Stegostoma tigrinum: one gene and its partner. The protein of the gene in region 1 interacts with the protein of each later gene in a biochemical or structural test. Links are inferred from orthologs where the notes say so. Each region holds a gene or a part of one and is shown on either strand. Other genes may lie near its edges. The genes, in order: signal transducing adapter molecule 1 and beta-arrestin-1.

Region 1 (15,593 bases):
CTATCCCAGGCCCCAAGATGACTTTCCACATTAAGCAGAGATTCACCTGCACATCTGCCAATGTGGTATACTGCATCCACTGTACCCGGTGTGGCTTCCTCTACATTGGGGAAACCAAGCGGAGGCTTGGGGACCGCTTTGCAGAACACCTCCGCTCGATTCGCAATAAACAACTGCACCCCCCCAGTCGCAAACCATTTCACCTCCCCCTCCCATTCTTTAGAGGACATGTCCATCATGGGCCTCCTGCAGTGCCACAATGATGCCACCCAAAGGTTGCAGGAACAGCAACTCATATTCCGCTTGGGAACCCTGCAGCCCAATGGTATCAATGTGGACTTCACCAGCTTCAAAATCTCCCCTTCCCCCACCGCACCCCTAAACCAGCCCAGTTCGTCCCCTCCCCCCACTGCACCACACAACCAGCCCAGCTCTTCCCCTCCACCCACTGCATCCCAAAACCAGTCCAACCTGTCTCTGCCTCCATAACCGGTTCTTCCTCTCACCCATCCCTTCCTCCCACCCCAAGCCGCACCTCCATCTCCTACCTACTAACCTCATCCCACCTCCTTGACCTGTCCATCTTCCCTGGACTGACCTATCCCCTCTCTACCTATACTCTCCTCTCCACCTATCTTCTTTTCTCTCCATCTTCGGTCCGCTTCCCCCTCTCTCCCTATTTATTCCAGAACCCTCACCGATGAAGGGTCTAGGCCCGAAACGTCAGCTTTTGTGCTCCTGAGATGCTGCTGGGCCTGCTGTGTTCATCCAGCCTCACATTTTATTATCAAAATTCCTGGTGGCATTCCAACTGGAACTTCATTAACAAACACATGAACTGGACCGATGTACATACCACTGAAAAAAACTGAACTGGAAGTGGTGCCAACCACCCCAGCAAACCAAGGCACATAAACAACAAGCAGGTCAGAACACCAACGCTTCTCTTGACACACAGCGATGGTGCTACCTAGCAGGGTGATGAAACATCCGCAATCAAACACATCCGGTTCGGCGAGCAATCCGACAACCTTCACATTACCTCAGATTCTTTAAAATTCGAGAGAACAGAGACTGGAAAATCAGAGTCTCCCTTCATTAGATAGTCCCACAATGCTGATGAACCTTCATTGTGCTCCCCCTATGATATTAATACGCTTCCTAATCTAAGGGGACCAAAACTGCACACAGTACAACTCCATTAACTGTCTAACCAAGACTCTACAGAATTGAGGCAATACTTTGCTTCCTCTGGACTCATACTCGTGATGAAGGGCAACTTACCATTAGTCTTCTTAATAGCTCGCTGCAAACGCACGTTAGTCTTCAGTGACCTGTTGATAAGGATACCCTGATCCCTTTAAACATCTACACTCTCTCAGTTCTTAGAGAAATATTTTGCACACCTGTTCCTCTTAAAAGTTGGATATTCTAATATTTTCTGACAATAGATACCATCTGTCATGTTCTTGCCCACACTCAAAGTCTGGCAAAATACTCTTAACACCAGTTTATAGCTTTCTTTTAACATACACCTACCAACATAGAAACATTATATTTGGTCCTCACTCCCAAATCACTGATATATACTCTGAATTCTAGGGCCCATGGAAGTTCCAAATGAATGACAGGAGGCCAATCAACACAGGTTCAAACAACTTAAACATTGTTAGAAAGCAATACTTTATTATGACTCAGAGTTATGCAGTCAACCAGTCCAAGTCGAGCATAGTCCCAAACTAAACTAGTGGCACCTGTCTGTTCCTAATCCATATGCTTCCAAACCTTCCCTATTCACGTACCAATCCTTTTGAATGCTGTAACTGTACCCACATCCACCACTTCCTCACATGCGAACCATCCTGTGTAAAAAATCTGCCTCATGTCTTTTTTAAAATCTCTCTCTCCTCTCATCTTAAAATGTGTCCCCTAGTCTTGAAATCCCCCATCTGAGGGAAAAGACAAGTACCGTTAACTCTATACCTCTCATTATCAAATCATGGTTTTCTTTAGGATAGGGGGGAGTCCAAAACTAGAGGGCATAGGTTTAAGGTGAGGAGGAAAGGTTTACAAGGGACCAGAGGGACAACATTTTGACAGAGTATGGTGCATGTATAGAATGAGCTGCTAGACAAAATGGTCGTGGGTACAATTATAACATTTGGACAGGTACATGGACAGGAAAGGTTTAAAGGGATGTCGGCCAAATACAAGCAAACAGGACTAGTTTGGTTCAGGATACCTGGTCAGCATGGATGAATTTGGTCAAAGTGCCTGTTCCCATGGTCTATGACTCTACGTCTATTAAAAGTACCTTAGTCTTATTTGAATATATAGCAAGAGGGATTTGTGCATGGATCTGATGTCACAAGAGTTCACATGTACCTTCTCACTAAGAAATTCACTGAAAACTGACCACAAACAATTGTTAATGATTGGCACAAACTAGTGATGATTGCACTAGCTAGACTAGAGTGTGACAATTTTCCATAAAAATATAAGAATATGACTTTGATGTCTGTTACAGATCAGGTAGCAAGATGGTTACTCTGCTTCCCTCTGCAAAGATGCTATCAGAACTGCTTAGTATTTCCAATCTTTTCTATTTTTGTGCAAAACAAAAATCAGATTATTTATCTCACTCACTTTTTTCTTGATCCCATTGCATGCAAGTTGACAATGACAGTTCCTTACAAAACAGTGGTTATATTTTAAAAGCAACTTGATTAGCAGTAACAGTACTAAGGTTGAGGCACGTGTCATTTAACAGTTCATGTTTTCAGTTTCTCATGCAAGACAGCACTTAAGATTACTAAAGGAACAAAGAAAAACAAACAATTTTAGGGATCAGAAAACCACATAAATTGACAGATTTAAATGTCTCCCACAGTTTACGTTAATGTCCAAGGTAACAAGTTGGTCGAAGTGAGGTTAGCCCCCAAATTCCATAAAATCAAAAAGTAACAGTAGTGTGCTTTCAAATGTTAAAATCTGTCCTTATACAGAAGCCAGTCTCTGCTCAAACTATGATCTATAATCTATGACCTAACTCCATAATATCCAAAATATTCTCCTTTGCTCCATATCCCATAACGCAAAAAGAACAAAAATAAACCTATCGACCTCAATTTTTAATTTAACAATAGATGTAGCATCAAATGTCATTTACAGAAGAGAGCTCCAAACTTGTGTCAAACATTGCCTGTGGAGTTATTTCCTAATTTCACTCCTGAAAGGCCTGATCATGACTTTTAGACTCAGCTCTCAATTCTAAAGACGTCAAACAATGGAAATATAGTTTCCATCTATCCCATCTGTTGCCTTGAATATCTTGAAAACCTAGATCAAATATACCTAATAGACCTCCTAAGTTGCAAAAATTGTGACCTTGGTTTCTCATAATTTAATCTTTAGTCATAGAAAGAGAAAACAGGAGCAGGAATGGACCACTCAAACTTTCAAGCCAACTTTGTCACTCAATATGATCATGAATAATCATTCAACTCAGTACCCCCTCCCATATGACTTTACCCTCGACCACCAAGAATTATATCTAACTCCTTTAAAAAGTTTCATTGCACTCTCTCAAAAGGCCAACACATCTTTAACGTATTGAGTCCAAAGCTGCTAATAACATTTCAGATCTTGTGTGTGTCTTTGTCCTGCCAAACTATGATTTCTACCCCTCCAAAGGCCAGTAATCCATTTGCTTTTCTGATTACTTTCTGTAGCTGTTTACATTTTACTGTAACTGGGCTCCCAAGTCTCTAGGGCCTCCACTTCTTCAATCTTTGCCAAAAGAACTCTTTTCTACTCCTTTTCACGTCGAGAGTAGTTGCTACCACACTTAGTTGTGCTGAAGCCATTCACCACCTTCACTGTGGTGCCCATTCATTTCGAATCACCTTATTTTTGTGATGTAACACTTACACACTGTCGTAACATCACCTACTTCGGCATCAACTAAATTGGACGTGTGGTATTCTATCAAATGATCTAAATCACTGATAAATGGGGTGAGTAATTCAGGCCACCAATATAGAGACATACTAGTTACCACTAGCCTCAACTTGCCAATTAGAATACCTACTCACCTTCCCTACTCTTGTCTCCTGCAGCTCAGTCAATCTCCCAACCAAGTCTTTGACTTATCTTCAATTCCACGAATTTCAACATACACTAGCAACCTGCCATGAAGAACTTTTTCGAATGACTTCTGGAAGTCCAAATGTAACATCCGTAGACATTTCTTCCCCTGTCCGCTAACTCACATTTTCAAAATAAATTCAAACAAATTTGTCAGGCATGAATTATTATTTTACAAATCCACGTTGAATCCCTCTGATCAGCTGTAAATTTAAGTGGCTCAGTCCTCCTCTCCTTAATAGAAGACTCTAGAAATTTCTGTTTGACAGATGTAATCTTTAGTTCTGAACTATTAGCCTAACATGATTCAACTGCTTAGAAGATAACAAAGTGTGAATAACAAAAGCTGACGTTTCGGGCCTAGACCCAGAGACCCTCAGCTTTTGTGCTCCTGAGATGCTGCTTGGCCTGCTGTGTTCATCCAGCTTCACACTTTGTTATCTTGGATTCTCCAGCATCTGCAGTTCCCATTATCGCAACTGTTTAGAACCTTTGAGAGACAGCACTTGGTGTATTCGGTGCAGTTTCAGCCCCCTTACATCAAAAAAAAGAGATATACTTTCTCCAGCAGGAATGCAGTTGAGAGTCACCAGATTCATCCCTAGGAAGGCAGACTTTCCTATGAGGGGGGATTGAGGACTCTAGGCCTGTATTTTGTAGAGTATAGAAGCAAGAGATGTCAAAGCAAAATGCTTACAAAATTCGTAAAGGGTATTACAGGGCAGGTGCCGAAAGATCTTGCCCCTTGGTCTGGAGTTCTACAACTAGTGGACAGTCTCAGAATAAGGAGCAAATCATTTAGGCCTAAGGTAAGAAAGAATTTCAGAACTCAGAGGGGAATGAAACTTTGCAATCTTCTAACCTAATGCTCTGCTATTAAGAATATCATGATAGAGGACACAACAAGCACAATCCATCAAAGCACCAAGAGATTTGCTAAACATGATTTCTCTTCCATAAATCCATGTTAACTTTATCCAATCTGCCTCCCATTATTTTCAAAATATCCTGCTATCACATCCTTTAATATAAATTCTAAGATTGTCTTCACAACTGATGTCAGGCTAACAGGTCTAGAGTTCTGTTTTCTCCTTCCTCTTTTTCTTAAATAGTGAGGTTACATTTGCCATTTTCAAACCCACAGCAAACATGCCAGAGTTTACAGAATTTTGAAGGATGGCCACCTCATCATCATCATCCCCACAGCCACCTCATTCAAAACTCTGGTATGTTCAGCATGGCAGGTTCAAGTCTACTTAAAGTCCGATTAAATTTTCTGGTACTTCTTTTTAAAATTTGTATTAACTGGTCCCTAGATTTGCCATTATTTCTGGGACAGTTTTAGTAATTTCTTTGGTGAAAACAGGCAAAAAGCATTTGTTTTGTTTCTCTGATAAACAGAGTAGATAATCTAAAATAGTAAAGCAGACTCAAGAGGAGGAATGGCCTACTGCAACTATGTTCCTTATTGATCCAAATTTTCCTGGTTTCACTCTCATACCATGCTTAAATGCAGCCAAATTGCACACAGTAAGATTCCACAAACCACAATGTAACAATGAAATAAGTCATAACCTAGTGTACAGCTGAATGAACACAGCAGGCCAAGCAGCAGAGGAGCAGGAAGGCTGACGTTTCGGGCCTAGACCCTCCTTCAGAAATGAAGAATTTCTAAAGGGTCTAGGCCCGAAACGTCAGCCTTCCTGCTCCTCTGATGCTGCTTGGCCCAGTGTTCACCCAGCTCTACACCTTATTATCTCAGATTCTCCAGCATCTGCAGTTCCTACTATCGCTGAATCAATGAAATAAGTCAAGTGGATGACACCAAAATTGGTGGTATCGTGAAGTAAAAAGGTTATTGAAGAGATCTTGATCAGCTGGGCCAATGGGTCAAGGAGTGGCAGATGTCGTTTAATTTAGATAAATGTAAGGTGTTACATTTTGGTAAGACAAACCAGGATAGAAGCTACACAGTTAATGGAGTGTCGTCGAACAGAAGCCTAGGGGTGCACGTACATTCTTCCTTGAAAGTGGCAGGACAGGGAAACAGGGTGAAGGCAGCAGCATTTGGCACACTTGCCTCCATTGGTCAGAGCATTTAATATTGGAGTTGGCACATCATGTTTCAGCCGAACAAGACATTGGTGAGGCTCCTTTTGGAAAGCTGCGCACAATTCTGGTCAATCTGCTATAGGATGGATGTTATTAAATGTGAAAGCTGCAGAAAATATTTACAAGAGCATTACCGAGACTGGAGAGTTTGAGTTATGAGGTGGTAGGCTGGAACCTTTTCCCCCCTGGAGTGCAAGCTGAGGAGTAACCTTGGAGACAATCATAAAATTATAAGGGGCATAAGATAAGGTGAATAGCCAAAGGTCTTCCCCCACCCCCGATAGGGGAGTCAAAGAGCAGCGGCATAGATTTAAGGTGAGAGAGGAAAGGTTTAACAAGGACATGAGGGCAACCTTTTATACAGAGGACTCCCCTTTGTTCTATCCCTTTCTATATGGCATGGATAGAGTTCTGCTAGTTCCAAGAAAAACTTTGCTTAAATCATTATTAATTTATATGTACTCTCTACAGAAGCCAACCTATTTCCAGCATGTTTCTGTTTAGATAAACTGGAACTAGTTTACTGCAAGTCTTTTTTCAAATTGCTGTTTCACAATTTTTCCACCCAGTTTGTCCCAAAATTTTAAAAAAACTCGAAAAATTGTTGCTCCTCATCAGCACAAGTGTAGGAAAAGTGCACATGCTCTTATTTAGGCAGGATAAGCAACCTCCAAAAGGATCTGCCTCAATCTTACAATTACAATACAGTACGATTTGGCAGTTAGCTCAGTGGGGTTCATCTCTTGTTTCCATTACCTCCCATGAGGGAAGGGAGTAATTGCAAAATTTGTCATGACAATTATTAGTAAAATTAAGGTGACAAGCACCACAATCTCTAGTTTCTCAAACTCCTTACAAAAATTTACATTTAACTTACCTTAAATCAATATTAAAATATCATTTACAAATGCTTTATGCACTTTTTAAAAATCAATTACGTTTTTCAATCCAAACCTGTCTGCTCTGCATTGTTTACACGATCCTGCAATAAGGAACCTGAAGCATGCTGTGATTTTAAGACCGATATTTCAACTGGACTTTTACGTTTAAAATTTAACCGAAGCTTTCAAATGATGTATTTAAAGCAAAATAAAATTTGAGCCGCTTGAATTTAAATGAGACAGTTTAATCTCAGGTTCGGTGTTCTTTGCCCCTCAAGTGCATTTATGACGCTGAATGATTTGATTAGGAAAGCAAAACTTGACCAAAATATCGTACCCAAATTTCTCACTCGGTCCTTTTGCAAACAAAAGGCCCACATCTGCGAACGCTGCCTGAATCCCTCTCCAACAGAAGCATCGTACCTTCATATCGTCAACTTCCAAGCAAACACTGGGAACACACAGCCCACAGGCCAGCAATTCGCAGATTACAATTTTAACCCGCAAAAGGACTTACCAACATCTTGATCGAATGGATTGGCGGCAAAGAGAGGCATCTCCGAAGACTGTATATACGTGCGTGCGGCTTGTTGCAGTCTAACTGCCCCCTAGGTTGTGTCTCCAATGTCGGTTGGAACGCCTCACACTCCCCGACTCACTCCTCCGCCAAGAATCGCCCCGCATCCGAGCCCGGAGTGACTTTCAACGGCAGCTTCGGCCCCAGCGGCGCACGCGCGCTCCCTCCCGAGCCGCGTTCTGCGCCCGGCACGAGCCCCCCGGCTGCGTTCCTTCCCCACTCCGGCCTCAAGCCTGGTGGTGTCGGCCCTACCGCCAGCTGATCCGTTTCACAGGCAAAACGCAGTATTGTTCGGAAATCAGAGGCCGCTTGCACCTCTGCAGCGGAATGGCGAAAAGAAGAGATTAGTGATAAATCACTGAACTAGCGGTGGGGAAGCATAAAAATAAATGCAATACGGGTTCGTATTTTTAAGCATCAGAAAAACTGAATCGAACCAATTGCATTTGCATTTTATTGTCAACACTCATGCCTCTCCACCCCCTTTCACTGCATTTCCAATCCGGCGAAATGCTAATATAGCCCTGCGACGTATCTCAAAGCCTCCAGCGCTAAGTGTAGATACTGCTGTCTTTCTCCACCTGTCGGTGTAATCAGGGTCAGCGGGTCTCTTCCAGCTGAAAGTGCGAAAATCGTGCACGATACCAACGAATACTCCCTTTACAAACGCACTGGAATAAATTATTTTCTTTTTAAATAAATACCAAACCCTGTAAAAGAACAAAACACGAGGATTACGGTAAAAGTAAATGACACTGTCCCGCAGGTTACGTAAAACAAACCCCTGTCTTTAGCAGTAGACGATATTGAAGGTAATCAATTTTAAAAAGTCTGATCCCATTTTTCTCTCTTCCAATTTACATTAAAATGTTGAATTTTAGCATTAAATTTGATGCAGTGAGTTTTATTTTACACGCAATGATTACCAATTGATACATTTTATAGCTTTAACGAAGGAAAGTAATAAGTATTTTCAACAACAGGGCAGGAAAGCGGACGTGAGAAGTTTCGGATCAGTCATGACCTTATTGCATCTTCTTCGGCTCGAGGGCCCGAAACTACTTTCAAATTTTCCTATTTAAATTTAAATCAGAAAGGCACTACCCGCTACTAAAGCCTCTATATGAAGACGGCAGACTTTTTGAATCCATTCCGCATAATTTGCAAATCGAATAATACTCAATTTAAATGCTGGCTAACAGTCAAAAGTGTAAAAGTAAATAAGTGGGTGTGTTCTTACAGCCCTGTTTTAATGTTTAGCGTGACTTTTCTTCAGAGAGAGGTATTAGCTCTGGTGTCCAGGCCTTTAGTACTGCTGCTTGGATATATTCAGGACTCCTGCTGTGTCTGGTTCTCTCCGACTGTTTTGCAATGCGGAGTGAATCAATTTCCCCAAATACTGATATTTCTGAAGAAAGGAACTTTGGAGCATAGAAATGATTACAATCACAAGTCAGGTGAGAGTTTGGGACTGTTCTCCTTGGACAGAAGGTTAAGAAGAGATCTGAAATTTTCAAAATTGGGAAAATCTGAATAGACTAATTATGAAGAAGCTGATGTCACACTTAAAAGGATCGACAATGAGAGGGCACAGATTTGAAATGATTGGCAAACATAGCAAAAGTGATGTGAAAAAAGAAAATACTTTCACATAGCAAGGTGTTTGGGTCTGGACTGCAATTCTGGTGAAGGCAGAGTCATATGAGGTATTCAAGAGAAGATGTAATTCGAATAGAACCAATGTGCGAGGGTATGGGGTAAATGCAAATAAATGGCATTCAGTCATAATGCTCATTGAAGAGCCAGTGCAGACATGTTGGATGCAATAGCCTCAAAGAATTATACAGGCCCATAGTCTTGAATGTTGTGACATTTCAAGGTTCATCGAAGTATTTTTTAAAAGTTGTGAGGTTTGCTGCCTCAACTACCCTCTCAGGCAGTGCATTCCAGATGCCCACCACTCTCTGAGTAAGATTCTTTTTCCTCACAACCCCTCTAAACCATGCTAACTATCCCTCTTCAAACCTGTCATGTTAAAATTATGCCCCTGTCATTGACCCTTCAAAAGATGGGAACAGCTGGCTTCTAACCTAATATATACCTCTATCAGGTCCCCCTTCAATGTTTTCCTTGGGGTACAGCACAACCCAAACTTATCCAACCTCTCTTCATAGCTAAAGTGTTCCATCCCTGGCAACATCCTGGTGAATCTTCTCTGCACCTCTTCCAGTACAACCAGTCTTCTGTTGCGTGGCGAGCAGAACTGCATATCTGTGGCCTATCCAAAGTCTTATACAGCTCCAACATATCCTCCCTACTCTTATAATCTGTTATTTGACTGATAAAGGCAGGTATTCTGTGCCTATTAACTTGCCCTGCTGCCTTCAGATATTTGTGGACCAATGTCCAAAATCCCTCTGTTCCTCAGATCTTCCTCATGTCCTGCCAGTCATTGAGTACTCCTTTGTTTTGTTACTTCTTCCAAAGTGCATCACCTCACATGTATTAGTGTTAAATTTCATCTGCCACTGATTTATCAATCTGACCAATCCTTTTATATCCTCCTGCAACCAAAGACCACCTTCTTCACTGTCAACCAATCTTTGTGTCACCTGCAAACTTACTTATCATCTTCCCGACACTCTCCCCTATATCGCTTGTATGTAACTATATTAGAAACCATAAGGGATCCAGCTTTGATCCCTGTGGTACACCATTGGTCTCCAGTCATACAAAAATCTCTCCCATCACTGTGTGTCTCCTGACAGTCCGCCAGTTTTGGATCCATCTTGCCAAATTACCCTAGATCCAAAAGCATTTGCCTTCTTTATCAGTCTCCTATGTGGGATCTTTTCAAAAGCTTTTCTGAAACCCTTATAAACCACATCAACTGCCCTCCCCTCATCCACACACTAGGTCAACTCCTCAAAAAACTCAATCAAATTTGTTGGGCTTGTCCTTCCTCTGACAAAGCCATGCTGACTATCCTTCTTCAAACCTTGCTTCTTTAAATGAAGATCAATTCTCTCCATCAGGATTTTCTGCAATAGTTCCCCAGGATTGATGTGAAACTCACTGGTCTGTAATTCCTTGATTTATCTACATCACCCTTCCTGAAAAATGGAACCACATTAGCTGTCCTCTAGTCCTCTGGCACCTCCCATGGCCAACAGCAATTCAAAATTTGGGTCAGAGTCCCTGTGATTTCCTCCCACACCTCCCACAGCAGTCTGGGATATAACTCATCTGGACTTGGACATTTGTTTACTTTTAAACCCGCCAAAACCTCCAATACCTCCTCTCTCCCTTTTTAAACAGCTCAAGAATTTCACAGATCATCTTCCCAAATCCTACACCTAAACTCTCTTTTCCCTGAGTGAAGACAATTGTGAAGTACCATTTAACACCCTAGCAATGTCCCCTGGCTTCAGGCTTAGATTGTCCCCTTGGTCCCAGTAAGCCCAATTCTCTTCTGTTTATTCTTTTCCCTTTGATATACTAGTAGAATATCTTGGGATTCTTCCTAATCTTACCTGTCATGACCCTTCTTTGCTCTTCTAATTGCTTTCTTAAGTTCCCCCTTGCACTTTCTATGTTTCATCCATTGATTTGCTCTCTTTGTACTTGTTATATGTCTCTCCTTTTCTTTTTATCCAATCCTGAATATTCCTAGATATCCAATGTTCTCTGGGATTGTTGCTTCTACATTTCACCCTGTTAAACTGTATTCTCCCTAATTCCTTTTGGAATACCTCCCACTGTTCGACTTTAGACTCACACTCATGTAGCTGTTCCCAGCCCTCTTTGTGAATTTGCTTTCACCCAATGCAAGTCCCGTTTTTGCAGACCATCTTTTTCCTTTTCCATTACAAATTTAAAATGTATGATGTTATCATCACTATCATTAAAGTGGTCCCCTCAAACACCTGCCTGGTTTCGTCACCCAGAATTAGGTCAGCACAACGCTGTACGTTGTAGGATCATCTACATGTTGACATTAAAAGCTGTCCTGGATACATTTCAAGAAATCTGTCCCCTCTAAACCCTTTACGCCATGACTCTTCCAATTAGTGTTGGGGAAATTGAAATCCTTTAATGTAATTACCCTGTTATTGTTTTTGCACACCTCAGTGAATTGTCTACATATCTGATCTTCAATTGCTCATAGACTGTTTGGAGGCTTATCTAAATTCTACCTACAAAGCCTCATTTGACAATCCTTCCAAGATATCATCCCTACCTTCTGCAGTAACTCAATCCTTAAATAATAATGCAACACCGCCTCCTCTTTTACACTCTCTCCTGTCCTGCCTGAATATCCTTTACTCCAGAATGTTGAGATGCCAGTTCTGTTACTCCATCAACCACATCTCTGTGATGTCAACAACGGTGTAATTCCATGTGTCAATCCGTGCCCTTAACCCATATGGCTTACCTATAATAGCATAGCATTAATGCAGAGGCCATCCTGCCTCACCTTACATCCTTGTGGCTCAACAGGTCTGAACTACCTCAGTCTAGGTTCCCATTTTGGGCCACGCCACTACTGAACTGTGTTCCCTGCCCTTGCTGAGCTAGTTTAAACTCTTCCCAACAGCACTAGCAAACATTCCCGCAAAGATGTTGGCCCAGTTCTATTTCAGGTGCAACAGTCCGACTTGTAGAGGTCCCATCTTCCCCATAAACGATCCCATGGTCCAGGAATGTAAAACCCTCCTTCCTTCACCAACTCTTGAGCATTCACCTGCCCTGTTCTCCTGTTTCTGTACGAGTTGGCATGTGGTACTGGGGATAATCCAGAGACTACAACCTGAGAAGTCATGCTTTTTAATCTACTGCCTAGCTCCCAGAACTTGATGCAAGATCTCATCCCTCTTTTACCTATCACTGATAGCAAAGTATATCATAACCTCTGTCTTGTCATCCTCCCACTCCACTATGCCCTTTAGCCATTCAGTGACATCCCTGACCTGGCACCAGGAAGGCAACACACCATCCTGGAATCATGCCACCGGCTGCAGAAATGCCTCTCTATTCCCTAACTAATGAATCCCCTGTCACTAAAAGTCCTGCTTTCTTCTTTCTCCCTTCCTTTACAATCAGGTAGCTTCATGGTGCCAGAAGCTTGGCTCTGTCTGCACTCCTCTGAGGAAAAAGCACCCCTACAGCTTCCAAAATGAGAAAGTGATTTATCAGCAGGACCCAGGGCACTCCTGCATTACATGCCTGTTTCTCTTTGACTGCCTGATGGTCACCCATTCCCTTCTTATCTCCAATCCCCTGAGCTGTGAATACCTCTCCAAACATGCCATACAAATAACTCTTAGTCTTTTTCTATACTGTAAGAATTCTGAGTGTCTATGATGTGCTAGACTTTTCATAGCCCTATCATGAATCAGCCCTCCTATGTTCTCTTGATGGAGGCTCATGGTCATAATCTGCCAGTTTCCTGCTTTCCTCTTCCACCGCGTAAATTCTGGTAAATTGTGTAACAATCTTGTAAATATGTACATAACTCACAAATTCAATGCAAATGAGACCTGAGTGTTAATAGGGTCGAGCATTTTGCTGTCAACATTTTTTATTTTTATACAGCATTTTATTTAAATTAAAATATATTTAATCTTTCTCCAGTTGAGAGTCAGATTTAAACTTTTCTTGAATTGAAATAATCCACAGCTCCTATTTAAATGTAGCTTGGATTTACGCAAGACATTTTTAAATCCATTTGTTACCATTTTGGCATTTTTATAAATAGTAAGAATGCAATATAGCCCATCTGAAATGCTACTTTATAAAATCAAGATAATTGGGTAATATATACATAATTACTGATGAAGGTGGAGCCTCAATTATTTACAATTTATCTCAATGACTTGGATGAAGAAAAAAATACTGTTACAAAATTTGCTGATGATGAAAAGATAGGTAGGAGAATAAATTCCACAGTGGACATAAGTCTGCAAAAGCAAAGAAATTGGTTAAGTGAGTGGACAATTATTTGGCATATGATGTATAATTTGGGTGTAAACTTTCCTATTTGGCAAGAAGCATAGAAAAGCAGCATATTATTGAAAAGGCGAGAGATTACAGAACACAGAGCTACATAGGAATTTGGTTGTCCTGAGACAGAAATCATAGAAATGTAACATACAGATAAAGTAACAGGCTATAAAGGCAAATTGAATGTTGACATTTATTGCAAGGGAAGTTGAGTTTTGCCACAGCTTCGTTACAGTTGCACGGGGCATTAGTGAGACCACATTTGGAGTACAGTTTGGTCTGCTTATTTGAGAAAGAACTTAAATGCATTTGAAACAGTTCAGAGAAAATTAACTCGATTGATTCTTTTAATAGTGAGGTTATCTTATTTGGAAATATTGGACAGATTGGGCCTGCTTCCCTTGGAGTTTAGAAAGATGAGTGGCAATATAATTGAAACATGTAAGATCCTAAGGGGACAGAGTGGATGCTGAATGGTTGCTTTCTCTCATGGGAAGGTCCAGAATGAGAGGACCCAGATTAAAAATAAAGGCTTACCTACTTAAGGTGAAGGGGATTTTTTTTCTCTTTCAGATGATAGTGAGCTTTTGGAACAACCTTCCGAGACAATGTTGTTGGCAGCATCACAGAATGTTTTTAAGGCAATGGTAGATATATTATGGACTAACAAGAGCCAATGATTATCAGATGTAGGCAGGAATGTGGAGTTGTGGCACAATGAGATCAATCAATCTTATTGATTCGTGGAGGAACGGCCATGGAGCAAATGGCTCATTCCTTCGCCTACGTAGTATGTTCATATGCCGCATTTTAGAAATAAATGTCAGGTATCTTTTTAAAATTTCTTCATGCTACTTTCAGTTCTTACAAGACACCAAAGAACTCTCATCAAATTGAAGTGGGGTTTCTCATTTTCAAATTTCTTTTATTTTTGCGGTCATTACATATCTATGTATTTAATACAGACCAAGTCTCCACCTATCTTCTCCTCTATCCATCTTCGATCCACCTCCTCCTCTCTCCCTATTTACTTCAGAGCCTCCTTCCCCTCCCCCTTTTCTGATGAAGGGTCTGGGCCTGAAACGTCAGCTTTTATGCTCCTAACATGCTCTCTGGCCTGCTGTGTTCATCCAGCTCTACACTTTGTTATCTCAAATTTTCAACCAATCTTCTTGCCAGTACTTTTTTAATATTATTGCTTGGTAGTACAGAACCTAAACATTGCTAAAAAGAGAGAAGTTAACGCCTTTCATTTTGCACTCATTGACAGAACAGGAACAGCAGCATGACAGGAACATCTCTAGAATCATCCTTTGTAGCATCAATGATGTCTACATCTGAACTGAAATAGAATCTAACTTTCGCACAGTAGTGCTGAAAGATTGCTTCTATCCCCATAGTTTTCCTGTCCATACCAGGAGAATGGATGACAGAAACTGTAGGACGAACAGTAAAACAGGTAGGAGTGTTGCACCATGCAAAAACGGCACAGTGAATCCCAGAAACTATAGCATTTATAGTATTGGGTATCACACTCAAGGACATAAGAACATAAGGGCTAGGAACAGGGGGAAGCATTTCAGCTCCTCGAGCCTGCTCTGCCATTTAAATATGATCATGGCTGATCTCATCTCGGCCTCAAGTCCATTTTCCAGCCCACTATTCATAACCCTTCAACCCATTAAGATGCAGTGTGACACCTGTGAAGATCAAAGCTTATAATTTTGTGTCAGGTGTGGCATCAATGCTATGGAAAATATCACTAGCACGTACAGCGTTATGTGACTAGGATAAATACAATAAAGGGATCAGGTACTTACGTCTTCAGCGGGCAACAATGTGCAGCTCTGTATATAAGCAGACCTGGGGAGGAA
Region 2 (15,900 bases), on another chromosome or scaffold:
GCTTCAGATTGGTATGACAGGTCGGCACAACAGCGAGGGCCGAAGGGCCTGTACTGTGCTGTAATGTTCTATGTTCTATATGTTCTATAACAAAGTGTGGAGCTAGATGAACACAGCAGGCCAAGCAGCATCTCAGGAGCACACTTGTGCCCTGTAGTTTGGGAAAAGATTTGGGGAGTCAGGAAGTGAGTTACTTGCCATTGTATTCCTAACCTCTGGCCTGCTCTTGTAGTCACTATGTTTATGTGGCCAGTCTAGTTCCATTTCTGGTTAACAGTAGAACCTTGCATGTTGATGGTGAGGGATTCAGTGATGGTGACACTATTGAATGTCATGGGATGATGTTTAGATATTCTTTCTTAGAGATAATCTAGAGCCTATGATTGCAAACGCTACTTGCTCCTTGTCAGCCCAAGCTTGGATATTGTCCAGGTCCTGCTGTATTTGGACATGCACTGTTTCAGTATTTGAAGTCATGAGTGTTGCTGAACACTGTGCAATCATCGGTGAACATCCCCATACTGACCTTAGGGAAAGTCATTGATGATGCTGTTGAAAATGATGGACCTAGCTCACTACCCTAAGACACTCCTGCATTGATGTCCTGGAGCTGAAATGTCTGACCTCCAACAACCACAATCACCTTCCAAGGTGCCAGTTACGACTCCAACCCAATTCCCAATAACTCCAGTTCGCTAGGGCTTTTTGCTGTCACATTCAGTCAGATGCCTTTCCAGACTGGGTGTACAGGAGGTGGTGAGGGATGTACCAAGAGGGAAAAACATAGTGGGCCTCACCCTCACCAGTGTCCTGGCAGAAGATGCATTCTATCCATGACAGTATTGGTAGAAGTAACCATAATCCTTGTCGGGACAAAGTCCCATCTTCACATTCATTTCAGATGGTGTTTATGAGCCAATTGCATTGCTTTGGGTTCAAAGAAAACCAGTGAACCAAATAGACTTTCAGTACATTTGTCATGGCCAGCATTGCTTCGCATAACATTTATATTTCGGATTCTTAATTAAATGTTGCCATGATAGGATTTGAACTGATTGCCATGAGCATTTAAGATAATAAAATGTGAGGCTGGATGAACACAGCAGGCCAAGCAGCATCTCAGGAGCACTCCTGAGATGCTGCTGGGCCTGCTGTGTTCATCCAGCCTCACATTTTATTATCTTGGATTCTCCAGCATCTGCAGTTCCCATTATCTCTGGTACAATTTTAGCCATGAGCATTTAACTCTGGATTATTCATCATTACCATGACATTGCCATATGTGCCCTTTTCAATCCTGAGATGTAGTCTTTATAAGGTTGCTACAATGTTAAACACAGAGCTAATGGGTTAATGTATAAACTCACAAAGGGGATCACGGTCCCTAAGAGACCACACCACGAGTCCACACTAAGTGGATATTTGCCTTAGCTCCACTGGTTGAGGAGAGGAATAGTAGCAGGATCTGTATCATGGACCTCCACCAACTTGTTTGTGACAATTCAAACTTAATTTCAAAGGGAACGGAGTGCAAAAGCGGGGAGGCATTGCTATAGCGAGATAAGACACTAGCCAGAACACTAGGTAGAAAACTGTGAACAGTTTTCGGCCCTTTATCGAAGGGGAGATATATTGGCATTGGAGATAGTCCAGAGGTAGTTCATTTGACAGATCCTGGGTATTGTGGGACTGCCTTATGATGAAAGGCTAAGTCGACTGGTCCAGTACACGTTGGAATATAGAAGAATGAGACATGACCTTATTGAAACATGTAAGATTCTTAGAGGCCATGACAGGGTAGATGTGGAAAGCTTGCTTTCCCTTGTGAGCGAGTCTAAGACCAGAGGACATCATCTCAGAATAAGGAGCCGCACATTTAAGACAGAGTTGAGGAGGAATTTCTTCTTTCAGGGGGGAGTGAATCTGTGCAATTCTTTACCTCAGAGGGCTGTTAAGGTTGGGTCATTAAGTATATTCAAAGCTGAGATAGACAGATTTTTGATCATAAAGGAATCAATGGTGCTGGGGAGAGGTAAGAGAATGGAGTTGAGGATTATCAGACCAGCCACGATCTCACTGAGTGGCAGAGCAGACTTGATGGGCTAAATGGCCTATTTTGCTACTACGCCATATGGTCTTATGGCAGGAGGTATTTGGGTTGAAGGTAAGCATGTTGTAGGATTGTTGGCAACTCACCAACCACCCTGGTGTAAATGCAGACACCTCTGTCACCTCTGAATGGTCCAGCAGAAAATGGGGAATAGAAGGGGAAAGGGATGGATTCAAGCAAGAAGGTGGTGACTCTCAGGCAGAACAATGACATCCATATCAAAAAAAACACTAAATCCATTGCCTTTTTGAGAAATGTCCATTTCATTGCAACACAGCTATTCATTCAACAGATGTTCCTTTATGTGGTGCAGATGGTTCCTGTACATTGTGATCAACATACAACACTTGCCAAGAACTGACGCGTTTGATTCAGGATTACACATGGGGTGGGAATATCTGCACTTTCAGTGAATGTACGAACGGGAAAGCATAATTGGCTCTGATCTTTAATCGCCTCCAGCTCAGCATTCCTGTTTGATCAGCAACGCTCTACAGCAGCCTGAACTGGTAGTGGAATTCACAAAATATCTCCCACATGACCCTTTACAAGATGAGTACCCAGTGATATTCTGAATCATCCAGTCAGCAAGCACAGAGGGCAGGTTATTCTGCGTGGTGTCACTGTGCTAGCTCTTTGGAACAGCTATCAAATTTGTACTACACACCCACTGCTCCCCATCTGTGTCTCCTGCCCTTGCTCCCCACCCTTGCAAATACAACCGTAAGAGCAGTTTGCAAAAGGAATCTTGTAATTTCATGACAAAAACCAAAAGAACTGCGGACGCTGTAAATCAGGAACAAAAGCAGAAGTTACTGGAAAAGCTCAGCAGGTCTGGCAGCATCTGTAAAGAAAAATATCAGAGTTAACATTTCGGGTCTAATAACCCTTCCTCAGAATTGAAACGTTAACTCTGATTTTTTTCTTCACAGATGCTGCCAGACCTGCTGAGCTTTTCCAGCAACTTCCGTTTCTGTTGTTGTAATTTTGTAAATTAGAAGACAACCAGCAGCCTAATTCAGGTGTTATTTTTAATATTCATTCACAAGATCGCTGGTGAGACCAACATTTGTTGACCATTCCTAATTACCTGTGAACTGAGAGGCTTGCTTGACCATTTCAGAGGGCAGTTATGAGACAACCGCATAGCTGTAGGACTGGAGTCACATATATGCCAGACCAGATAAGGACGGCAGATTTCCCTCCCTAAAGATTTTAAAAGGTGTCGTTGCCGCTCAGAAAGAGGGGACTGAAGGCGGTGTATGTCTTTCAATCATTAGGACAAATGCAAAAATGTCAAATTATCACAATTTAGATATTGTCTACTCTACCTGCTCAGAGATTTTATTATTGATCCCTGGAGCAGGCAACACCCAATCCCGGGCCTCTCTAGTTCAGAGATAGGGACAGTATCACTGCACTTCAACAGCCCCTAAATCAGCTGCCCAACAAACTGACCCCCGACACGTATCTGTGAACCAGACAATCGACAATAATTATGTGGTCACCATTAGGGCAACTTTTTATTGAATTTAAACTACACCATCTGCCATGATGGGATTAGAACCCATGTTCCCCAAAGAACAGCTTGGGGCTCTGGATAACTGGACAAATGACATTCCTGCTTTGTCACTACCTCCCCCTACCCAAGGAATGAATAGGATAGGTAGAGAGAATTTATTTCTTCTCTTGGGAGTTGGGGTTGGGCTGAGGGTGGGGACCGGAACAAGGGGACTCAGAGAAGATTAACGCCCACAGCTGACTGCACCCACTCTGAAAATTCACATCTCCAATTATTGACATGTTCTCAAAGTAAACCCTGAGGACAGATACCGAGAGCTAGAATGAAAGCTTTCCTTAGGGAGAAGTGAAAAATCATAGATCACTGATCGCAGCCATTCTGACCAGGAGAGAGAGGAGCAGAAGTAGGCCATCAGGTTTGCTCCATTATTCAGTGAGATTGTGGCTGATCTGAGATTCCTCAACTCCATTCTCCTGCGTTCTATCTCCACCTTGAATATACCTAATGACCCAGCTCCGACAGCCCTCTGCAATAAAGAATTCCACAGATTCACTCCCCTCTAAGAGAAGAAATTCATCCTCATCTCACTCTTAAACGTGTGACCCCTTATTCTGAAATGATGCCCTCTGGTCCTGGACTTTCTCACAAGGAGAAACAATGTCTCTATATCTACCATGTCAAGTCCCGTAAGGATCTTGTATGTTTCAAAATGGTCACCTCTCATTTTTCTATATTCCAACATGTACAAGCCCAATGTTTTCAACCTCTCCTCAGTCCCTCCATACCTATTATCAACCTAGCATACTTTCTATGAATTGCTTCTAATGCCCGTATATCATTCCTTAGATAAAGGAATCAAAAACTATTCACAGTATTCCTGCTGTGGTCTGACTCATGCTTTGTGTAGTTTTAGCAAAACCTCCAAAATTGTATACTCCAATCCCTTTGAAATAAAGGCCAACATGTTATTTTTCTTCCCTATTACTCAGTGAACTGGGATGTCCATTATATCTGTCCCCACTCTTAGAATACACCAGGCAGTCAGCTTTGTTTGTTCTTCATCTTTCTCCAGTTCCTGGTTTTCCCTTCTCCCCCTTTTGTGTTTGAGAATTCATCCAAGGTCTTTTTGAAAGTTCCTCTTGAATCTGCTTCCACTGCCCCTTCAGGCAGTGCATTCCAGATCACAGAAACCCCTTGCGTCAGATAAATGTTGGCTCCTTTTGGCTCAAACCTCATCAATGTGTGGCCTTTAGGTTTGCCAATTCGACCCACCACACCAAACCACCCCCTCCCACCCCATCCCAACGGAACCAGTTTCTCCTGATCGACTCGATCAAAGTTCTTCATGATTTCAAATACCTCTATTAATTCTTCCCCCGAGCCTTCTCTTCCTGAAGGAGAACATTCTTATCTTCTTCGACCCCACTCTCTGGCTCTCTCCTGCTCTAACTCCACAAACCATGTTTGCTTCTTACGCATACCCTCATACTTTTGAATCTTGAGCTGAATGTGGAATACCCTCTCCCAGAGGAGACTCGCAGCCCGATGCATCATTTCATATCCAACATCCTCAGATTCCCCTTCACTTGGTAAAGGGAGGCAAAGCAAGTGAAGTCATAGGACAGCCTTTGTCCTTCTGGGTGTCAGGATAGATAGAGGGGCTGAATGGCCTCCTCCTGCTGTTGTTTCTCATCACAGCTGAAGGTTGGACAGCCACAAGAAAGTAATTATGTGATCCACTTGGAATCCTCAAATTGGAACATGCTGTATCCCAAAATGAGAGAGAGAGAAGAGTGGCGGGGGCGGGGGGAGAAATGGTAATCCACCGGAATATCTAAGAGTTGGCAGAACAGGAATCAAAGGGATCTAAAAACGGGAGGGGGATCACTTTCAAACAATCCTGTGACAAATCCCCATCTATCCCCACCCCACCCCACCCCGCGATCATCAAGGCTTTTAAATTGAATCCTAGTACCAGTTAACCCCAGGATCTTAGCTCAGAGTCTCATTCAAAAGCTTTTAACCAGCAGCAAACATTGCAATGGTAGCACGAAGAAAACAACATCATCGTGAAAAATTAAACTCAAAAATGCCAGAAAAATCTGATCTTCATTTATTCATGGGAGGTGAGTGTTACAGGCCAGGCCAGCATTTACTTTCCATCTCTAATTGCCCAGAGGTCAGTTGAGTATCAACCACATTGATGGCCACACTGGGTAAGGATTCCTTACTAAAAGAAAAGATACTAGTGAACCAGATGGGTTTTTAATGACAATTGTGATTGGATTCTTAATTGCAGTTTTGTTTTTATTGAATTCAAATTCCTCCTTCTGTTATGGCAGGGTTTGAATGCAGGTACCCAGCAGAATAACAGGGTCTCTGGGTAACAGTCCAGAGATAATCCCACTAGGCCACCATCTCCCCCTATGTTATTAGCAACAGACTGATTGAGAATGTTCAAGGTTTACAAATAAAGCCAGGAGACTCTCTCCCAGTTTGCATCCCAGTCTCAAGACTGGAGCTCAACCCGTTCTAACCATTCCCCTTTCCAGTTGCGTTTTAAGCATCCAATAAAACAGAAATCTCACAAACCTTGTGCCTTTGTCACTCATTATTCTGCTGCCTTTCCAGCTTCGTGGACAGAACCCCGGAATTTCAGATCAGAGCCGAGCCCTCGGAAGCTACAACTGAGATTTAATTCAGACAGCCCCTGTTTATTGCTGTCTCTCTATCGCCTTTAATCTCGTCCACTCCCACTTCTCTTCACATTCCTTTTCTTCCCGACGGCCACACACCCCTCCCTTATCTGATAATTAAACAGATAAATTTCTTTCGCGGAGGAGGGTTAATCCCAAATCCCTACTGCTCAGTTCCACCGTCATTCCTTGCTGCATATTCGACACACACACAGTCAGACTCCCTACTCCACACACACACACACAGACATCCCCACGCCTAGCTCTGCTTAAAGCCGAACCAACCATTATACAGACTGATTCGTGGGCAGAAAAGGGTTATGGTTTTGACAGCCTCCTGAATTAATACCTCACCCCCCCAGACACCCCAACTCTGGGGAAAGGAGAGTGCTAATAGATTTACAGAGAACAGTTCAGGACTGGACAGACATAACCAGACATAATAGAGGAATAGTTACCACTATACCAGATACAAGAAACAGAAAAACATTCCCTAATATGGATGGAGATTAACAAAGTGTGCAGACAGGCACATCTACAGGAATGGTAGCATAGTAGTGGTGTCAGAATCCAATAATGTATAAACATGTGCTCAGAATCCCATAGCAGTGACTGTGCAATTCAACAAATTTGTAATTGGAAACTATTGTAACCACGAAACAGCTGGATTGGAGCAAATCTGGAACTTAAAGCTGGTCTCGGTGATGATGACAGTAACACATCAGCCATCGTTGAAAAACCCATCTGGCTCGCAGATTTTCTGAAGAAGGGCCTAGACCCGAAACGTCAGCCTTCCTGCTCCCCTGATGCTGCTTGGCCTGCTGTGGTCATCCAGCTGTACACATTGGTGGCTCACTGATGTCCTTTAGAGAAGGAAATCTGCAGTCCTTATCTGGTCTGGACTACTCGTGACTCCAGACCCACAGCAATGCGTGTCCTCTGAAATGGCTGAGCAAGCCTCTCAGTTCGAGGGCAATTAGGAATGGGCAACAAATGCTGGTTGTAGCCAGTGACACCCTGAAAGAATGAAGGGGAAACTGTACCCTTTGTAGGTTATTTACACATCCACAATTATACACATATCCATTGGAAAAGTGGTGAGATTTTGCAACTGAAATATTCATGGATTCATAGAGCCATTGAGTGGCACAGCACAGAAACAGACCCTTCGGTCCAACACGTCCACGCTGACCAGATATTCTAAACTAATCTGGCCCCACTTGCCAACATTTGGCCCATCTCCCTCTAAACCCTTCCTATTTATACATCCATCCAGATGCCTTTTAAATGTTGTAATTGTACTAGCCTCCACACTTCCTCTGGCAGCTCCTTCCATTCACACACTGCTCTCTGCGTGAGAAAGTTATGCCTCATGTCCTTTTTAAATCTTTTCCCTCTCATTTTAAACCTCTGCCCCTCTAGTTCTGGACTTCCCCACTCAAGGGAAAGGATCCTTGTCATTCAATTTATCTATGCCCCTCATGATTTTATAAACCTCTGTAAGGTCACATTTCAGCCTCCGACGCTCCTGGGGAAAAAAATCCTCAGGCTATTCAGCCTCTCCCAATAATTCAAACCTTCCAAGCCTGCAACATCCTTGTAAATCTCTTTTGCACCTTCTCATATTTACCAATATCTTTCCTATAAATGGATGGCCAGAATTGTGTGCCGTATTCCAAAAGGAAAGATCTAGGAGCAGGAATAGGCCATTCGGCCCCTTGAACCTGCTCCACCATTCAATACCACCATGGCTAATCTCATCTCAACCTCAAGTCCATTTTCCTGCCCACTCTCTTTAACTCTTCAACCTGTTACTAATTAAAAATCTATCTAACCCCTTCTTAAATGTATTCAGTGTCCCGGCATCCACCACACTCTAGAGGAATGAATTCCACAGATTCATGACCCTTTGTGAGAAGCAATTCCACCTCATTTCTTTAAATCTGTCAAACCTTCTCATAATTTTTTTTTCTGAAAAAGCATCCTGACCTGAAATGTCACCTTTCCTGCTCCTCTGATGCTGCCCGGCTTGCTGTGTTCCCCCTTCTCCACACTGTGTTATCTCAGACTCCAGCATTGACAGTTCTTACTGTCTCTCATAAAACTATGACCTCTTTTTCCAGATCGCCCCACAAGGGGAATCATCCTGTCCAAATCTACATTGAGAACACTTTTTAGCACGTTATAAACTCTAACTGGATCTCCTCTCGTTCTTCTTAACTCAAATGAGTATTGGTCTAAACTCAATCTCTGTTCAAAAGACAAATGCCTCAATTTTGCTCATTCACTGTAACAATTCTGTAGATTTTAATGTTAACGCCTCACATTTTTGAAACTTTAGACTCAACCCTTCTATGCTGAAATGTGTTGGGTTAATACTTCAGCTTGTTCATATTAGTTTGACCATTTTCATTTGCTGTCTTTGATTGAACTGTTGGTGAAAAACTTTCACACCCTCAACTGAGCGATCTGCAGATTCTTTCTTCCTTGATGTGAAATCTATTATGGTTGTTGAGGATTCTTCTTTGGAGGGCGGGAAGGTAAATATTTGAAGACGTCCCTTCAAAGTCAGCTCAACATGTGATGTGTGGCTTGCATTTGTCATAACTGGACGCAGTGCACAGGATGGGTGGACTGTGAACTGGTCCAGCCAATAGCAGCCATTTATTGCCCATTTGTACTTGCCCCTTGAGAAATTGGTGGTGAGCCGCTTTCTTGAACTGCTGCTGCCCACGTGCGGTCGGTAAACCCACACTGCCATGAGAAACCCCAAGGGATTTGACATAGTGGCACTGGGGGTACAGCAATATATTTCTAACTTAGGATGGCGAATGGCTCTGAGGGACCTTAAAGGGGGTGGTATTCCCATTTATCTTTGTCCCTCCAATTGGTGGTCATGAGTTTGGAAGGTGCTGTCCTAGGTGTGTTGGTGAATTTTTGGAGTGCACATGGTAGATAGTACACACTATTGAGCAACAGTGCGAAAGGAGTAGATGTTTGTGGATGTTGGTGACAATCAAGGGGGCTACTTTTTCTGAATGACGTCAAACTTGAGTGTTGCTGCAGCTTCATTCATGAAGGAAATTAGGGAACATTCCATCACACTCCTGACTTGTGCCTTGTAGTTGGTGAACAGGCTTTGGGGAATCAAGAGATGAGTTATTCGCTGCACAATTCCTAGCCTCTGACCTACCCTTGAGCATTGCATTGAAATGGCAAGTCCAGTCCAGTTGTGGTCAATGGTCAGTTACACTGGGCTCTGGTGAAATCATCCGGAGTACTATGTTAGGTATTGGCCGTCTTATTTAAGGTAGGGCGTAAATCCATTGGAAGCAGTTCATAGAAAGTTTACCAAAGTAATATCTGGAATGGACAGGATGCCTTATGAGCAACTGCTGGACGGGCAAGGCTTTTATCCGCTGGAGTTTAGAGATTGAGAAACAATTTGATTGAAACATATTAGATCCTGAGGCCACTTAACAGGATGGATGTGAAAAGATGCTTCCTCTTGTGGAAGCACCTAGAACTCAGAGATCGCTTTTTAAAAATTAAAGGGTCACCATGTTAGTCAAGGATGAGGAGCGATTCTTTCTCTCAGGGGATTGAGAGTCTCCCCAGCAGGTGGGGGAAACAGTGTCCAAATATTTTGAAAGCAGAGATGGCTAGATTCTTGACAAGCGAGGGGGTGAAAGGTTACTGGGAGTAATTGGGAATGTGGAATCAAGGATGCACTTATATCAGCCATGATCTCATTAAATTGTGAAACAGGCTCCAGGGGCCAACTTCAGCTCCTCACCTGAATGTTCATGTTGAGTTAAGATGGGAACTCAACCGTTGAATTCAATGGAACCAGCGGGACATAGAGGTACAGAGATCGATGGCTCATTAAGTCTGTGCCAATCGAAAACAACCATCTAACTATTCTAATCCCACCTTTCCAGCACTTGTTCCATAGCTTTGAATGCCTTACCAGATTGAGTCACTCCAGCTGGATTGGTTTAGAATGGAAATTGACAAACCACATGTATTATCAAGGGATAACAAAGTGTGGAGCTGGATGAACACAGCAGGCCAAGCAGCATCTGAGGAGCACAAAAGCTGATGTTTTGGGCCTAGACGCTAGATCAGAAAAGCAACCACTGGAGTTTAGAAGAATGAGAGGGGGAATCTGATTGAAATGTATAAAATTCTGGATGTGAGTTTGCTCGCTGAGCTGGAAGGTTAGTTTTCAGATGTTTCATCACCATTCTAGGTAATATCATCAGTGAGCCTCCGGTGAAGCGCTGTCCCGCTTTCTATTTAACGGTTTAGGTTTCCTTGGGTTGGTGATGTCATTTCCTGCATTGGTGATGTCATTTCCTGTTCTTTTTCTCAGAGGATGGTAGATAGACTCCAAATATTTGATGATTTGGAGCCTACCTACCATTCTCTGAGAAAAAGAACAGGCAATGACATCACCAACCCAAAATAGAAAGCGGGACAGCGCTTCACCAGAGGCTCACTGATGATGTTACCTAGAATGGTGACGAAACGTCTGAAAACTAACCTTCCAGCTCAGCGAGCAAACTCACATCCAGAACCTCAACCTGAGCTACAAATCTTCTCAAAACGCACTACGCATAAAATTCTCACAAGTTGTTCAACTTGAAAGGGTGTGGAAAGATTTACAAACATGTTGCTGGGGTTGGAAAGATTGAGCCGTAGGGAGAGGCTGAATAGACTGGGACTTTTTCTCTGGAGTGGCAGAGGTTGAGGGGAGACCTTATAGAGGTTTATAAAATCATGAGGGGCATGAATTAGGTGAATTGTCAAAGTCTTTTTCCCAGGTTAAGGGAGTCCAAAACTAGATGGTACAGAGTGAGAAGGGATATTTTAAAAGGGACCTAAGGGGAAACTTTTTTCAGACAGAGAGTGGTGCATGTAAGGAACGAGCTGCCAGAGGCAGTGGTGGAGGCTAGTTGAATTACAATATTTAAGAGGCATCTGGACGGGTATATGAAAGGAAGGGTTTTGAGGGATACAGGCCAAATGCTGGCAAATGAGACCAGATTTATTTAGGATATCTGGTTGGCACGGACAAGTTGGACCAAGGAGTCTGTTTCTTTACTGAACGTTTCTATGACTGTTGATGGACAGTTCAGTTGCAGGAAAAACAGTTCTGATGAGCAAGGAGTCCAGAACCAGGGGACAAAGTCTAAGGATACAGGGTAAACCTTTTGGGACTGAAGTGAGGAAATATTTCTCTACCCAGGGTGAGGTGAATCTGTGGAATTTCCAGAAGCTAAAGGCATCAAGCCGCTTGGGGAGAGGGTGGGAACGTGGCGACGGAGATAGTGGGTCAGAGCATGAATATGTTGAAAGTCAGAGTAGCTTCAACAGTCCAAGAGGCCTAATCCTGCTCCCGCTTTCCACGTGTCTGTTTTGAACCAGGTCAGGACCCAAACAGACTGGAATGGAACCAGATAAAGCCAGCGAATTTTGATGAGATCAGTGGAAGGTGGGAGTCTGATCTGGAGCGTGTGATCGTAGTCTGAGGGAACCGAAGCTCAGGCAAGGTCTACTGTAGCAGATGAACCAAGGCATAAACATAGTCAGGCAAGGTAACAGAGATGACAGTCCCAGTGCGGGAGACCCTGTGGGGCCAGACGATCATCCGGGCCTGTGTGTACAAGGTGCTAAGTAGGCTTGGTGAATTTCTGCAGTGTATGTTGTAGATGGCCCACACTGCATTAAGTGGTGGAGGGAGTGAACGTCTGAGGTGGGAGAGACAGAGTTCCAGGTTTCTCAGCAGCAGAACTGAATGGAGATATTGTTCAATGTCAAGCTAATCCATTCATTCATGGCAGATAATTAAAGCTGCATTCCTGGGAATTCATGGAATAGAAATAGTGACAACTGGGGGAACAACTCAGCTGTACCGGAAACAACACTGAATGTTGAAGAGAAATACTGCTATCCTGAATGTGACAGGAGTCAAATCTTCAGGGAGGGTTGAAACTTCAAGAGGACCAAAGTTTGAGAGTTAAACGAACAAATATCTGGATAGTGATCATAAAGAACAGACTCACCACTGAGAAGTGACACACAATTATTTATTTAATAAAAATACAAAACTATGAATGTTAATGTTAAAAGTATAAATGAAGTACTTTTGCAAGAATTAAATTCTTTACAATATTTAAAGAATGTAAACATTATATTAGTTTAGTGGGTTTTAAGATGAGGAGACACTGCATGCAATCAAACCCTCATCCTCAGCGAGTCTCTTGCTTTGAACCAGAGCTCGAACCATCAGCTCGAGGTGGAGGGTAAGGCTTAATCCCGGAATATTATCCCTAAATATTAAAGGTTATGGGGCCTCAGCAGAAATGAGGAGTTAGGACACAGATCAACCATAATCTCATTAATTTGACAGCACAACAGGGGCTGGATGGCCCACTGGAGCTCCAATATTACCCAAACCTGTTACTATTGGTTACTTTAAGTTGTTGTTAAAAATCCCCCATTCACTGCTCTGCTGCGATGTTGGCCTGCAGCTGAGAACATTCTGAAGCAAAGATACTGACAGCTAGTATTTCTGGGCCAATCTAGTGCTGTATCATTGACTGAGGAGGTTTTGGAGACCAAGAGAGAGCCTGCTCAGTTCTCCCAAATCCCAGCAATCAAACCACCACAGTGTCATGAACACGCATCTCCTCTCCACTTATCTCCTGGGTATATAAGAGTTGTATAACTCCTGCCTTTGCATGACCAAAGTATCACTGAAATGCTGTTGAAGTGTTTCATTTTACATTCATTATCAGGATAGAATGGCAAGAATGCCAAACTTCAAAGGGATTTATCCTACAAGTGAAATGGGTGCTCACGGTTGGTAAGTTGAGACCTTGCTCTTGGGAATGCTCTGGGGAACAGTTTGAACCCAATGACTTTGTTTAATTGAGGAAATTACAAAGCCAGGGCATGTTTGCTCTCCCAGCAGAGGAGGCAACCCTGGATATAAGTAAAAGTCACTTCATGCCAACATCAAGTGGGCCTGACTGACAATCTTCAACTGAACCAAACAGAGTCAACTCTCCAACCAACTGGCACCCTTCTTCCCTGCACTACGAATTGTTGTGCCCTGTGCAATTTAGTCAGAAGTCACACAGCACCAGGTTAACATCCAACAGGTTTAGTTGGAAACACAAGCCTTCAAATCACTGTTCCTTTTGTTGGCTGATGTGGAGGGAAGCAGACAAATTCTGTGTCTGCGCACTTCCCTCCACAGACAATGGAGCAGAGCTCTGAAAGCTTGTAATTTCAAATAAATCTGTTGGACTACAGCCCGATGCCGTGTGGCTTTGCCCATCCCAGTCCAACACTGGCACCTCCACAACATTGAAATTTAGAATTCTTGCATCGGTGCTGGTGAGCGCAAGATGGCTCTTTTTCTCCGTGCAATACCTAAATCAGTTCTGTGCCACCAAGTGACTATTTATTACAACAGTCAGCAGAGGCAGGTGATCTTCCATCAATATTTGTACAAACAGGAAGGTGACTGAGAGAGACCCCAAGTGAGTACAGATGTGCCAGATAGAAGAGGCATAGTGGGTCTTTGAAAAATAGACGCACACATTGGCTTTCATTTGACAAGAGCATTTCACAATTCATTTTGAGGAAGAAAGATTTTAATTTTATACAGCATTTTTCAGAGACTCAAATGTCTCAAAGTGTATTATAGCCAACAAAACACTTCTTGTAGTGTACTCACTGTTGGGACGGAGGAAACAGAGCAGCCAATTTCTGTACAGCAAGATCCCACAAACAACTGTGTCATAACGTCCAAATGATCTTTGTATTATTGTAACGTTGATTGTGGCCGGCACCAATGCCTCAGGGATGTCTCATTTGCTCCTCTTTGAAACAATATCAAGGAACACAATACTTACACCCAAAAAACAAGTGGGGGGCCTTGGTTTAATGTTTCATCGGGAAGACAGAACCTCCAACAGCCCTGCAATCACTCTGCATTGCCATGGAATATCAACCCTGACTCCTAGAGCAGGGCTTGAAATTTTGAAACAGCGGAAATAGGAGAAGGAATAGGCTAAACAGCACTTTGAAGTGTCTCTGCCATTCATCTCAGTCCCCTGTTCCTGTTTTCTCCCCCATACCTGGTGATCCCTTTAGCCCTAAGCACTATCTCTAATTTCTTCTTGAAAACATCCAATGTTTTGGCTTCAACCGCTTTCTGTGGCAGAGAATTCCACAGGCTCCCCACTGTCTGGGTCAAGTCATTTCTCCTCATGTCAGTCCTAAATGGCCTAACTTGTACCATTAGACTGCGACCCTTGTTTCTGGGCTCCCTGGTCATCTGAAACATCCTTCCCATGTCTATCCTCTCTAGTCCCATTAGAATTTTATAGGTTTTTATGAGATTTCCCCATTCTTCTAGTGAATATTATTCGAGACAATCCCGTCTCCCTTCATACATCAGTTCTGCTGTCCTAGGAACCTGGAACCTTCAGATTCAGAAGGAAGAGTGCTGCCCACTGAGCCATCACTGACACATCAAGCCTGGAATATGGGAGTCATAGGAGATGCCAAGGCCATGGAGTGAGGACAACTTTTCCAGGGTTCTCAGTGAATATGGAGAGACTGGAGAAGTTGGGATTGTCTTCCACAGACTGAAGACGTTTAAGCGTAATTTTAAATCACGAAGGACAGAAGGGGAATAGTCTAGCGGTAATGTCACTGGACTGGCAATCCAAGATCCCAGGCCATTGTTCTGAAGACATGGGTTTGAATCCCACCATGGTAAATGGTGAAATCTGCATTCAATAAAGAGCTGATGTATTGGTCAACTTCCAGCCATTGTCCATTGATGCTCAAAACACATCTGGTTCGTCTCAAATTCTCCAGTGTCTACAGCTCCTACTATCTATGGTTCATTATAATGCCGTTTAGGGAAGGAAATCTGATGTGGCTTCCAGACCCGCAGCAATGTAGTTGACTCTGAGCTGCCCTGTGAAACGACCCAGCACAGCCACTCAGTTACATCACACTGTGAGAAAGTTTCAAAGGATTGAAACCACGCCAGTCCCCTTGAGTCAATCTAGGCACTGGAGGAGACAATGGCAGAAACAGCCCTGTCAACCTTGCAAAGTCCTGCTCATTAGCCTTGTGCTAAAGCTGACAGACTAGTCAATCAACAGCCTGATATCGTCATACTGACAGAATCATACCATGTAGACAACAGGATGGGCAACAGAGATAACCAGGAGCTGGATGAACACAGCAGGCTAAGCAGCATCTTAGGAGCAGGAAAGCTGACATTTCAGGCCTAGACCCTCCTTCAAAAATTCTTCCACCCTAACCTGCACATCTTTAGACTGTGGGAGGAAACCAGAGCACCTGGTGGAAACCCACACAGACACAGGGAGAATGTGCAAACTCCAACATACAGTTGCCTGAGGGTGGAATTGAACCTGGGTCCCTGGCGCTGTGAAGCAGCAGTGCTAACCAGTGAGCCACGGTGCCAAATTGTTGGAGGTAGATTATGTTGGAGATGATCACCTTTGAGTATCCTCTGA

The links.
Region 2: the proteins of signal transducing adapter molecule 1 (region 1) and beta-arrestin-1 form a complex in vitro, tested with the Homo sapiens proteins (2 studies listed by BioGRID). The link is inferred for Stegostoma tigrinum from reciprocal best matches to the Homo sapiens genes STAM and ARRB1.

The regions. Positions count from the first base shown.
Region 1 is NC_081355.1:115,188,859-115,204,451, reverse strand, and holds the start of signal transducing adapter molecule 1, read right to left. Parts: upstream 8,407-15,593; 5' UTR 7,697-8,406; coding exon 7,657-7,696; intron 1-7,656. UniProt on the Homo sapiens protein: Involved in intracellular signal transduction mediated by cytokines and growth factors. Upon IL-2 and GM-CSL stimulation, it plays a role in signaling leading to DNA synthesis and MYC induction. May also play a role in T-cell development.
Region 2 is NC_081359.1:109,443,263-109,459,162, forward strand, and holds the start of beta-arrestin-1, read right to left. Parts: upstream 6,580-15,900; 5' UTR 6,245-6,579; coding exon of another isoform or gene 6,225-6,244; intron 1-6,224. UniProt on the Homo sapiens protein: Functions in regulating agonist-mediated G-protein coupled receptor (GPCR) signaling by mediating both receptor desensitization and resensitization processes.